Oryza sativa Japonica Group: one gene and its partner. The main gene of each other region encodes a partner of the protein of the gene in region 2 in a complex. Links are inferred from orthologs where the notes say so. Each region holds a gene or a part of one and is shown on either strand. Other genes may lie near its edges.

What was found. Proteins that work in one complex are often made in the same cells at the same time.
Region 1: gamma-tubulin complex component 3 (region 2) and gamma-tubulin complex component 2 share a complex: the UniProt entries of both Arabidopsis thaliana proteins name them as parts of the gamma-tubulin complex. The link is inferred for Oryza sativa Japonica Group from reciprocal best matches to the Arabidopsis thaliana genes SPC98 and AT5G17410.

The regions. Positions count from the first base shown.
Region 1 is NC_089038.1:25,543,224-25,549,148, reverse strand, and holds the start of gamma-tubulin complex component 2, read right to left. Parts: upstream 3,298-5,925; 5' UTR 3,205-3,297; coding exon 3,136-3,204; intron 3,036-3,135; coding exon 2,971-3,035; intron 2,881-2,970; coding exon 2,817-2,880; intron 2,157-2,816; coding exon 2,022-2,156; intron 1,934-2,021; coding exon 1,802-1,933; intron 1,493-1,801; coding exon 1,409-1,492; intron 1,325-1,408; coding exon 1,226-1,324; intron 971-1,225; coding exon 879-970; intron 683-878; coding exon 610-682; intron 487-609; coding exon 334-486; intron 242-333; coding exon 122-241; intron 37-121; coding exon 1-36. UniProt on the Arabidopsis thaliana protein: Gamma-tubulin complex is necessary for microtubule nucleation at the microtubule organizing centers (MTOCs). Required for the positioning of the gamma-tubulin-containing complex on pre-existing microtubules and for the proper organization of cortical arrays.
Region 2 is NC_089043.1:21,011,808-21,017,408, reverse strand, and holds gamma-tubulin complex component 3, read right to left. Parts: upstream 3,902-5,601; 5' UTR 3,871-3,901; coding exon 1,613-3,870; intron 1,523-1,612; coding exon 1,255-1,522; 3' UTR 1,084-1,254; intron 994-1,083; 3' UTR 765-993; downstream 1-764. UniProt on the Arabidopsis thaliana protein: Gamma-tubulin complex is necessary for microtubule nucleation at the microtubule organizing centers (MTOCs). Required for the positioning of the gamma-tubulin-containing complex on pre-existing microtubules and for the proper organization of cortical arrays.

The DNA of each region.
Region 1 (5,925 bases), on a different chromosome or scaffold from region 2:
TCGCTTGAGGGATCGCAGTTTCCCAATGAGATCATACTACACGGTAAATAAAACAAAATTAGAATCCAGACCACAGAAGAAAATGAAATCTAATAGTGCATTTGCTATGAACAATTGTAACCTTATCTTTCATTAGAGTCAAGAGTTCACCACTTGCAAAGTCATACGCAGATTTGATGCATTCAAGATATTGGTGGTTTGAACCAAAGCCCATCAGCTTAGAACTCTCTGACAAGGGAACCTAAGCATAGTATGTAAGACAAGTGTGTTCTTATAACACACACATATAAAATAGCATCTAGTGATGCAACCACAGAAAATAATCATGCATACCTGGACAGTGTACTCACATTCTCTCATAACATTAAGATATTTTCCAGTTGTCAGTATTGTGGCGGCAACATTGGTAAGGAAACTAGGGATGCCATCTTTTAGACTGTATCTTTGCTGCCAATATTTAGCATCATAATCTTGAGTAAGGCTCTCCTATCAAAATCAAAGAAAGCCTCTGATTATCTTAAGAATATAACAAACCCAGTATTCTAGTCTTATGAAAATGCAGAGAACGATGGAATTTAAGTAGGCCAGAAATTCTAAGTCATTCGGTACCTTCTGCAAGGATTTGTTTTCAGCAATGAAGAATTCACCATAAGGATCATCTATAACGCCCTCATAGACCCACCTAAAATGAAGCCCATTAGAAGCTGAAATTATCAAAATACAGCAGACAAGCTAATTAAGTTTTTAATCTAAACAAGTCTTAAGTCTTAACACTACAATCCAATTAAGAACTGGCAATTACAAAATGCTTGTTAACTTCAACACAAAATGTAAGAACCGATAAGTAGCAAAGACAATAAGATATGAACATGATGAACCTTTCTAACATCCTAAGATACGCTGCACTTGCACACTCTGTCATCTTCTCCAGTAATGATCGAACAGCACTATCGCCAGCCATTGCCTTTGCCTATGTTGAAAGGAGTACAGCAATTTAATACATGGATGAAAGAGCTAATCATGTGGACCAGAATGAAAAGGCAACAAAAAACTGAATGTTGAGAAATCGGCTATGTTAAAGAAATATGTTATGCCGATAAGAAAACCAGTCTGTTCAGCTTGGATTGCAGGAGCCTACTGAAAACGATATTCATACCCACCAGATTCTCGTACTTGGAGAAAGAGAGATGCAAAAGAAAAAAAATGTATCTCAGAGGTGAAATACCTGACTTTGAAGTAGATTAAGTGTAGCAGAACCACTGGTGTTATTGGAGATAGCTTTCTCGACTAGAACAGCAAGTGCGTTCAATGAACTCATCATCCTCTGCCAAAAAGCACATCAGGACTTGCTGTGCTTAAAATGATAATCAAATCAGGATAAATAATTAATGCAGTAAATAAAACTCACCTGACAAAAGAACCACAATCCTTGAACTGACAGTCTCCCAAGACGGAACTGGTGCTCCAGTTGAGCAACCATTGCCTGATAATCCTGATAAACAAATAAAACACTTAACTTCGTGCCAAATACACATATGAGGACCAATACTGGAAAACATAGGCCTTCTTTTAATTTAAGGATAATGTAATAAGATTACTCTCTACCAATACAATTTATGCAAATGTTTCCATGTCAGAATAAACAACTGAACACTTGAACTCATGATTCAGGCATTACTGTTTTTACTATATAATATGAAATTGTTAGTATATTCGTTTTTGCCACCTTTTCCAAACATAAGAAAGCTTGTAGTCAAGGCAAATTAATTAAAATATTCCTGGCTCGAAAGAGGGAGTTTACCAAGAGGAATGCCCTCAATGCTGCAGCTAGAGCATGGTTGACCAGGCCACTCTTGAAATGTGATCTGGACTCCACAAAATGGTATACCAAGACAAAATCCTCACATAAGGGAAAAATCCGACGAGTTAATTCCTGCAAAAACCCAAAGAGTTAAGTACCAAACGCATCTGCCTTTTTGGAGGCAATTCATGATCCAGTTGTTGTACTCTTCAGGCCTTACCTGGAGTGCAAGGTCCATTGAAGAATCAATCTGGAAGACAACATACCCCTCCTTTCCCCGTACTCTCTTAATCGAAATGTATCGTCCCTCAATACCCACAAGAGCTGATAACAAATCATCAATGACCAAAAGCTCCTGCAAATCAATAACAGATAGGTTGGAGTTACACTTTTCAGTTGTTTGTGAAAGCTAAATTACTTCAGATAATTTTAAAGATGTGCAAAATGAAGATATTACAATATTGAGCCTCATAGAATAGCTGCTTAAAGCAACATAGTGAAAATGCAGCTATTTTGTGACATTGTTACAACAAATATGTTGTACTTAGCACGGCATGTCAGTATGTCATGAACACCACCGACCAACAAACTCTGAGAATCACTCAAATTCAAACAGAAGATTCGAGTTATGTAACAAAATATTTTATTATCTGAAATTATATCTACTCACACTACATTGACCACATGAACCAAAATATCAAAAGAAAATTCTAACCTAGCACCGTTACATAATATTGTTTTCTGAATTCAAGGAAGTAGGCAGTCCAAAAAATCAAAATACAGTGTTCAATAACATTCCTAGCTCCAATCCAGACTCTGGTTAACAACAATTTACAGTTCATGCACATGTAGAGAGAAAAAAAACACGACGAATTCTTCCAATTAACCCGAACCATTGAGCTCGAAGTAGAAGCGCGGAACCGGAACCTAAACCCTAGCATCGGTCCATTAAAAAAGTAGTCGCTCGAAGCCAATTAAGCCAGCTAAACAACCTAAAAGTACAAGCTACCGGTACCTGCACTGAGACGGCGTACGATCCGATGACACTCTCAGCGCCGCCGCCGCCGCCGCCGCCGCGGCTGCAGATTCAAACGAACTCCGGGGCATCAGAAAAACCACGAGGCGAGCACCAAAAAAAAAATCGCGCGAAATTTTAACCGGCGAATCACCTGAAGGAGTCGAGGGAGTAAGGCTTGGATCCGGCCCCCTGCGCCGCCGCAGCCACCTTGGCCTCCTGCGAGAGAGAGAGCGCGAGGGTGGATGAGGCGGAGGCGGCAATGGGGGCAGCCGAGACAGGGGAGGAGGAGGAGGAGGAGGAGAGAAGGGAGGCGTACCTGATGGAAGCGGCCGGTGAGGTACGGCCGCTCCAGGTTCCAGCGAGGGGTCGCCGGCGCGGGATCCATCTCGAGGAGTCAGTGGAGAAGTGTGGGAGAAGGGTGGTGTGGTGGCTGGTAGGTATAATAGCCGTATAGCCGCGACGAGGAAAGGCGGAAGCCGGAGGAACGGAGCGACCGAACCAACAGGTAAATCGTACAGGCCGCCCGTAGGCCTCGAGGTGGAAAATTTGAACGCTTGGGACGGCAATGGTCGAAGCTTTGTGTTGGGCACTTTTGTGGATTCCTTCTCTTTTTTTTTTCCAAAAAATGCAATCACAAATTGTAAGATGGGAAATGGTTTTTATACATTTTTAAGAACAAAAATGCTTTTACATTTATGAGAAATCCCTTAGCTACATGTTCACACTCTCCTGTAACCCTTGCACCCTTTCTATTTCTTTCTTCAGTGCTCAACGGTATTAAGTATATAAATCTTGTCCTTTGTAATATTACTTTTTCCCTAATTATTGTGCATTATTTCAGTAAGATAAGATATAAATATGGTAAGCTATCTAGATTAGTCTAGTCTAGCTACTTGCTTGACTTAAAATCTCAATGAGTCATATGCCCTAATTATTTCATAAAGTTTGCTTTATTTCTGTAGGGAGTGCTCGTATATACCGTGATCTTCGTACTTTGTTTGCGCTCCTTAGATTGGCATGACTTGGCTTGCAATGTTCTTTTCATATGGTACTTGATCAGGATAGTTTGCTATTTTATCTTTTGCTTTCGGCATTAATAAAGTTATAGTTCAAAGTATCGCTAATAGACTTGGTCTACTCTAGTCACTTCATATATCCGATATATCCCCCCTCCCCCCCCCCTGCGGGTCTCTAAGGGCGGTTTGCCAAGAAACCATAGCTCCATGGTTAGCTTGGGCGATGAATCAATCCATCGAATGAAAATGCACTTTTGTCGGATGATGCATACCGACTAGGAGTCATAGTCATCCCCATATAATGTGTTGTTAATAATAGCTAAAGGAATAAGGAAGAGTTTGATATTCTCTCATCCTCTAGGTCGTTTTGTCCCAATAATTTGTTCCCCTTGTGCAAAAGGATGTGCCATATGTTCCCTGAATCAATCTATATTGTTTATCACTTCAATGCATTGTTCCTTGAAAAAAAATGGATTCTACGCTTACAGGTGAATATAGTTGTAGATTACTACACAGGTGGGGACAATATTTGGCATATCCTAAACTACCCAATCAAATCATGATTAAATCTGATCCATTGGGTAACGAAGAAGAAATTCCTCTGTGATTTCCACATCCATCGTATTAATTAATTGTTCATGCTGGGTTATCTTTCTAGTCATCCTTCTTCCACGTTTTTCCTCATCTTTCTCGCCATGTTCCTCTTTTCCCCGGTTTCTCCCTTGTTGGTCACCAACAACGTGTTTGCCACTTTTGCCAACATCATCAGATCAAATATAGCGCTGATGACTTAGCTCAAGCACCACATGCCATCCAGAAGATTAGGACCGGCCTCATGTAATTTTCTTCGATATATCATGCCATTTTTCCAAACAAAGGATTGAGTTAGCGATATCCGATATTTTAATCAAAGGTTTATTATAGTAGACTACCCAATTATCAATAACTTTTTCGGTATATGCTATATCATCTGATTGTCTTTTTATGTGTTTCTTAAGTTCAAATCTTAGATCTAATAGAGAAAGCACATGTTAAGTAGATAAGTGTAGGGGTACTCGAGAAAGCATGGGTGTAGATGTTCTTTTTTTATTTTAAATTCAAAATGTTTACTGATTATTTTGTATAATAAACCTAGTATTTGTTTGGGCTCCATGTTATGCAAGAAACCGCATCGCAACAATTTTTTATACTACGCTGTTATTTGTTCCTCTGTAACGCAACATCAACAAACTGATTTTCACATGCCATGTTAATCAGTTGTTTTTATATTCACAAATGTATTCCTCTCTCTTTTCTCTTATATCTTTTCTCTAAGTTACCCGTGGTCTAAATCTACCACATATGAACATATTATGTGCTATACGATATGAGCGGCTCTGTAAAAAGTCACTTCGCCTGGTTGTCCAGATATGTTTGTATGTGACAAATACAATACCCATCTAGCTAGAAATACCCGACTTATGTCAAATAAATTTGATCAGACAGAGTAATAGATTTCATAGTATATGATTATAAACCTTATATAGAGACCAGAGTCATTTTATATATCTCACACATCTCCCACCACATGTATTGGATGTCTTAATAACCCTCAAATAACTTTATTTAAAGAACATAGATCGTTCCTCAGATTGACCCAGCTTTTTTAAGAGCCAAGATAACAGGGATCCTCAAAACAACTTTAACAATCAAATCATCTCTCAATTTCTGCACTTTCAAATATGGAACCTCAATGCCGCAAAACATTTTTAGCTTTTTCCAAACGACGTAAAATTTTATTAGTAGGCTGGTAGGAAAGCTAACGATATGCACACTAATATATTTTTTTCACAAACATTGTTGTGTTATACTGTGCCATTGTGGTTGAATCTTGTTTTTTTATAACTCAGTTAACGCAATCAATCGGTTGACGGGCCTTTCGATTTTGGCCCAAAGGCCCAACCCAAACCCCAGCGAGAGTCGTCGAGATGACATCCGAACGAATAGCTGCGAGAGGGGAGGAGGGAAAAGGGGAGGAAAAAAAAAACAGTTTGGGATCCGAAAAACTTGAGAGGGGAAAATCTGGTTCTCAAATCTTAACACACTCCATC
Region 2 (5,601 bases):
GATGCACTCTCCAGCACCAACGGAAGAAACGGGATCAAAGTTAATGGAATCCGTGGACGAGAAAGTTTCTGCTTTTTTTTTATTTGTTTGGAAGACCAGAAAGAAAGTTTCTGCCTCCTCAGCCACAATACGTTCACCCGATGGCAAAGAACAAGTGATCCCTCAAAAAAAAAAAAAGAACAAGCGATGAAAACCGCCACGCTTCGAACACGTGGCAGAAGTGCAGAACAAGTGTTTCCGTCCATCCGCGACGCAACCTGCCTCGAACCGAAAAGAAAAAAAGATCGGGCTCCACAGGTTATCAGGCAAGAGAACGTAGAACTATATCTGATGTACAAGCCGGCAGCCAGGTGCACAACATGAGCAACCCACAAAAGACAGCAAAGTAGGTTGAATTACTAGTACAAACTTGAAGAAAGAGTTGCAACCGTAATGCAAGCAGGTAAACTGCAGTCGAAGCCATTCAAATGAGCTGTGGTTTCTTCACATGATGAATATTTGTGTAACTGAACTCCCAATGTAGAAAATTTTGAGCGAAAGAACCGAGTCTATGTCTCCTTATGAAATTAAGATTGGCAGAAGGTTCCCACACCATGTGCAATCAGCACTCTTATATTGGACTCGAATAACTCACATTATGTGCAGACTTTTCGCACAGCCATTTTGAGATTGGAAACGAATGATACGGTTCATACAAACAAACGAATTATAGGCATCCTGAATTACTTAACAACAATTTTGATGACCAGATAAAGAACAGCAACTAGCAAAATGAGATTTTTCATTCTCCTGTAACCGAAGAATACAAACTGGTAAGGAGAAGCCCCCACACAATGCAACTCTAAAAAATCAGGGTGGAAAATGTGTGCATGAAATGTACACCAGTTCATCTAAAAGTGAAAACCAAAGTAAACTTACATCAATTTTGTACACTATAGTTGTTCAGAATGCATGGCAGCAAGCCTCCAACTTCATGGCATGCGTGGGCAAACTCTGCAGAAAAACCAAATAATCAACATAAACACTTCTACCATCGGGAAACACATATAAAATGAGGATAGTTGTATTGGCCCTAGAAGTTACCTTAAAGGGTGAATTCAACAGGAGGTTCAGGACAAATGAAAGTGGCAGACCATGCCTTTCAAATGACCAAATATCAATCAGCAGGGCTAAGGTGTACAAAAGAATGCCTCACAAACCCCAAACCAAAGAGTAAATCTAACTCCCTACTTTTTCCACATCAGGAACACATCTTCATTTGTTAGACGAAACACGACTGTAGTATTCAGTGAAGTCTAAGCGGAAGAGTAGGAATTTCAAATCAACATGCTGTTGCATAGGTAACTGAGCGATAAATGCATCAAGTGAAGAAGTATAATCTTTCGCGATGCTATCCAAATCTTCACCCATTTTCCGGAAAAGTTCCCCAGCCAGCTGAATCATGGCTTTCCTCCCACCATCCACCCATGAATCCACTTCCTTGGATTTAGCTTTTGCTTTTGATTTTGGCTTACCCTTTCCCCTGCAGTAAAAAAAAGAAGAGGTAAATCAAACAGCATATATGTAATAAGATGGAGAGAGATGGCATTGGTTAATTATGCAACAATCTAACCTCAGTTGCAACTCATATATCCGCTCAAACCACCGATCAGCATGGCTCCGGAATTGCAAAATGATGTCAAAAAGTGCAAAAAGATTCCTCAGAATTCCATGTGATCTCTCACCAAGGAGAGACTTCTCCACAATCGATGTGAGATACTTATCATGTGCCAACAGAAGATCATCTAAATCCTTTGCTGAATCCATTTCTTCTGAGAAACGAGCCCAGGAAACTTCCAGGACCTCAAACATAATGTAGTACTGGAAGTTGGTCACAAAGTGGTTCATTTCATTAAATAGAACTTGGCATTTGCGAAGAACTGAAACAAACTGAGACCTGATGTTTGTTCCCTCCTTGTAAAATGGAGATGAAACAATGCAGTTAGGCTTCATTGTCTTCCAGATTCCAGTCAATGAATGGTCTACACGCTTAAGCTTCCACAGGAAGTTAAAAATCTTGAGGTACCTCTTCATGACAGAAGCTGTGAATACCGTATCCAGAGGAACCCTAGCATCATACTCCAAGGAAAACACATCCCAGCCACGATCACCATCTCCATGATCCATCATCTTTACCTTTATGCGATCCAAGATGTCACGGTCATCATATTGAGCGTTAGATGCTCGGATCGCAGTCTCAAGCAACCCAGCCAAATGGAAGGAGCTAATCCTATTTGCTGGCTCTGACAACTCAGGGCCAACAACATCCATCAGATACTGGACGAAGTCACCCTGCCCAAGAAGCAAATACCTCTTAATCGCAAGACAATGATCTTTGAATCGATACCGCTTATGGATCACATCCATCAAATGCCGATCAATCCTCTTGGCTGCTTCAACCACTAGTGCCTCCAAAGCATCAATCTGCCCATAACCAAGCCCACCTCGACTAGTTGTGGTGCCAACACAGACAGCAGCCTCAGTAGCAGCATCTGCCCAACCATTATCATCACAGCAAACTTTAAGAAAGTTGATTGACTTCCCGGTTCTAAGAATCCTTTGCGCCAGTACTGGAGAAATGAAAGCTGGAAGCATATCAGACTGAAGAAGATAGCCCTCCTGCCACAGAGACTCAGCCTTGACTGGCTGCCCAACAATGAAGAATTCTGCAAACACATCCTCCAACTCCCCTTCTAACACCCAGCTTCGGACCATTTCAAACAGCGGTGAGCACACCCGCCGCAGCAAGCGGCCCATAAAATCCTGGAAGGTGGGATCCCCATGCTGTGCGTGCCCATGGATCGCACCAGCCATTGCGCCACCTCTCAAACCCCGGCATCCATCAACCAAAACCGCCATTAGGCGCATCCTCACCGCAGGCTCAGCTAGCCAAACTGCAAGACGCCGCAGAGAGAGGTAATTACCAGACACCCCTGAATCAGATCCAGGCGTAGGAATCGGATTCAGCGAGTAAGACTCGAGAACGGCGAGGAGCTTATAGTAATCAGAGAGCTCCTCCTGTAGAGCGGAGCAGAAGGCCTGAGCAACGGTGCCGACCTCGGTGGCAGCATCGGAGGGAGAGCGACTGATGTTGTCGGAGATGAACCCCCGCACCTTGCGGAACAGCCACCCCAGCTCGCATAGCTTGCGCACCAGGGTGCGCGTGGAGCGCGGCACGCGGACGCCGTCGGGGAGGTCGTACGCGTCGCTGCCCTTGTCGAACCGCACGTACCGGCCGTCGATCCCCTGGCACGCGTACAGCACGTCGCGCACGAGCGCCGCCTCCGACACCTCCGTCTCGTCGAGCACCAGCTCGGTGTACTCCCGCAGCGCGATCTCGCGGATGTTGTCGGGATCCTTGGAGACCAGCACCACGCCGCCGGGCGGGGCCCCGGGCGCCCGCGAGGCCGGCTTCCCCCCTGCCGCCGCCGCCGCCGCCGCCGCCCCCGAGCCCGCGGCGCGCGGGGGCGCGGCCGTGGGGAGGTTGGGAAGGCAGGACGCGGCGGCGGCGGCGCGGCGGTGGGAGGAGAGCGAGTCGAGCAGGTAGAGGAGCGGCCAGAGCGACGCCGGGCGCGACCTGGCGGAGAGCTTGGCGTGGAGGTCGGCGAAGGCGAGCGCGTCGTCGGGGCGGCCCGACGCGGCGAGGCGGCGCTTGACGGACTCCGCGAGCGCGTGCTCGTCGGGGAGGACGGCTGGCGCGAGGCGGCTCGAGAGCAGCCGGTGCGCGAACCGCAGCGCGCCCCCCGCATCCCTCCCGCCGCCGCCGGATTCGGCGGAGATGAGGCGGTGGACGAGCTCCTTGACGAGATCCTGGGTTTGGTGGTCGTCCATTGGAGGGGCTAGGGTTCGAGCAACCGATTCCACCGAGCGGGGGGGGGGGGGGGGTTTGGTTTGGGGGATTTTGCGGAGGGAGGCGAAGTGGTTTCGTTTCGTTTCTCTCTCCTCGTTTTGTAATTTTTCGGTTTTGGATTTGTGCTGAATTTGGTCGTAATTTTGGGCGGGGAGAGGAATCTTTTTTGAAAAAGGGTGAGGGTTGTGTGACTGCTAGGTGGGACCGGGAGTTTCGAGGTGGGGATGCGATTTTTTTTGGTGTGGCCCACTGTAGGTGGCGTGAATCGCAGAGAAAGCGAAGCCCGGGACCACCACCAGGTGGGACATTGGTTCCTCTTTTTGTGAGTTGTACTGCTGATGAGTGATGAGCAGAAATTTAAAATCGTCCGTGCACAGAATAAGCTCGGTTTGGATTAGAGATGATCGGGATCAACAAATAAAGTTGCATTTCAGCCCTACAAATTTCTCTCCAACATTTTATCAAATACGGAGGAGGATAGACTTCAAGCGGAATTAGGAAAACAGAAAAACAGACTTCAAGTGGAATTTGGAAAACAATTTTAAAAAATTTGATTATAAATTAAAATAAAACTCCTGCAAAGAAAAAGCTGGAACGGGATACACACGCCATACACCTGACAAGACCTCTCCTACTTCGAGCAAGTTAGCAGCATGTGTACAACTTCTCCTATTTCTCAACCCGTTCATGAGAAAAGAGATATGCACGAAACAAGTATGGGCTCCTTCGATTGCTAGCCCATGAATCAATTACAGCCTCGACAAGCTTTCACAATCATCTTAATCAAAGAAATCCTGCTTATACCACCAATCCGTGTTGGAGCCATCCTCTTTGGTTTGGACTATATCATATGTGAATGGTTACAACTAGTTGGTGTTGTTACTGGTTGCGCCTCCAATAGGCTCGCGGATGTGGGCGACTTTATGGTGCAAGGTGGATTGTATCCAATCCGTGTCGGGGGCAACTTCGTTAGCATGGCTGGCACCTTCTTGCGAAGGTAGCCGCACTAGTCGATGTTAGGGATAACCTCGTCGACATGCAATGTTGCAGTAAAGGAGTCGTTTTACGAGCGCATGTTGCTCTTGTCCTTCACCACTAGTCCCAATGTGCAACAGGATGCTTGCCAACAAGCTCAATGCTGCACGGCATTAACCAACATGCAGTGTCTTCGTTGGCTTCATACTTGTCTTGTGCTGATATCGGTAGACATGCTTCTTCACCGTGGTTCGATGATAAGGGAACTTGTTTCCGTCGTCCAAGAATGGTAGCAAAAGACCGGGGCATGCTTTTTACAAAATGGATGCATCGAGGCATCGATGAACTAGCGATGCTCAGTCATATGTATCTTGCTTGGTACCTCAATATCAATCAGATTCGGTACTTTTTATGCATATAGTATAAGACTTGATATTTATCGTGTTGTTTCGGAATGGTATCCCGTACAACAGCGTAAAAGCGAAAGAAAAATTAAAGTACCAGTATAAGAATTGCTATAAATCAAATTCTATATCACAATATAAGAATTTCTTTTACTAATTTATCATGTTTCACAACACTTAAATTTTAAGTGAAACCAGGTCAATTTGATGCTTCAAAAGGGAATCTGATCCGTTCAAAATCTTAAAACTAACAACTGAAGTGACTTAAAAGATACGGAGTACTAAATATTTTGATCTAATTTTAATACTACTAAATAAACAAATTAAAAGACC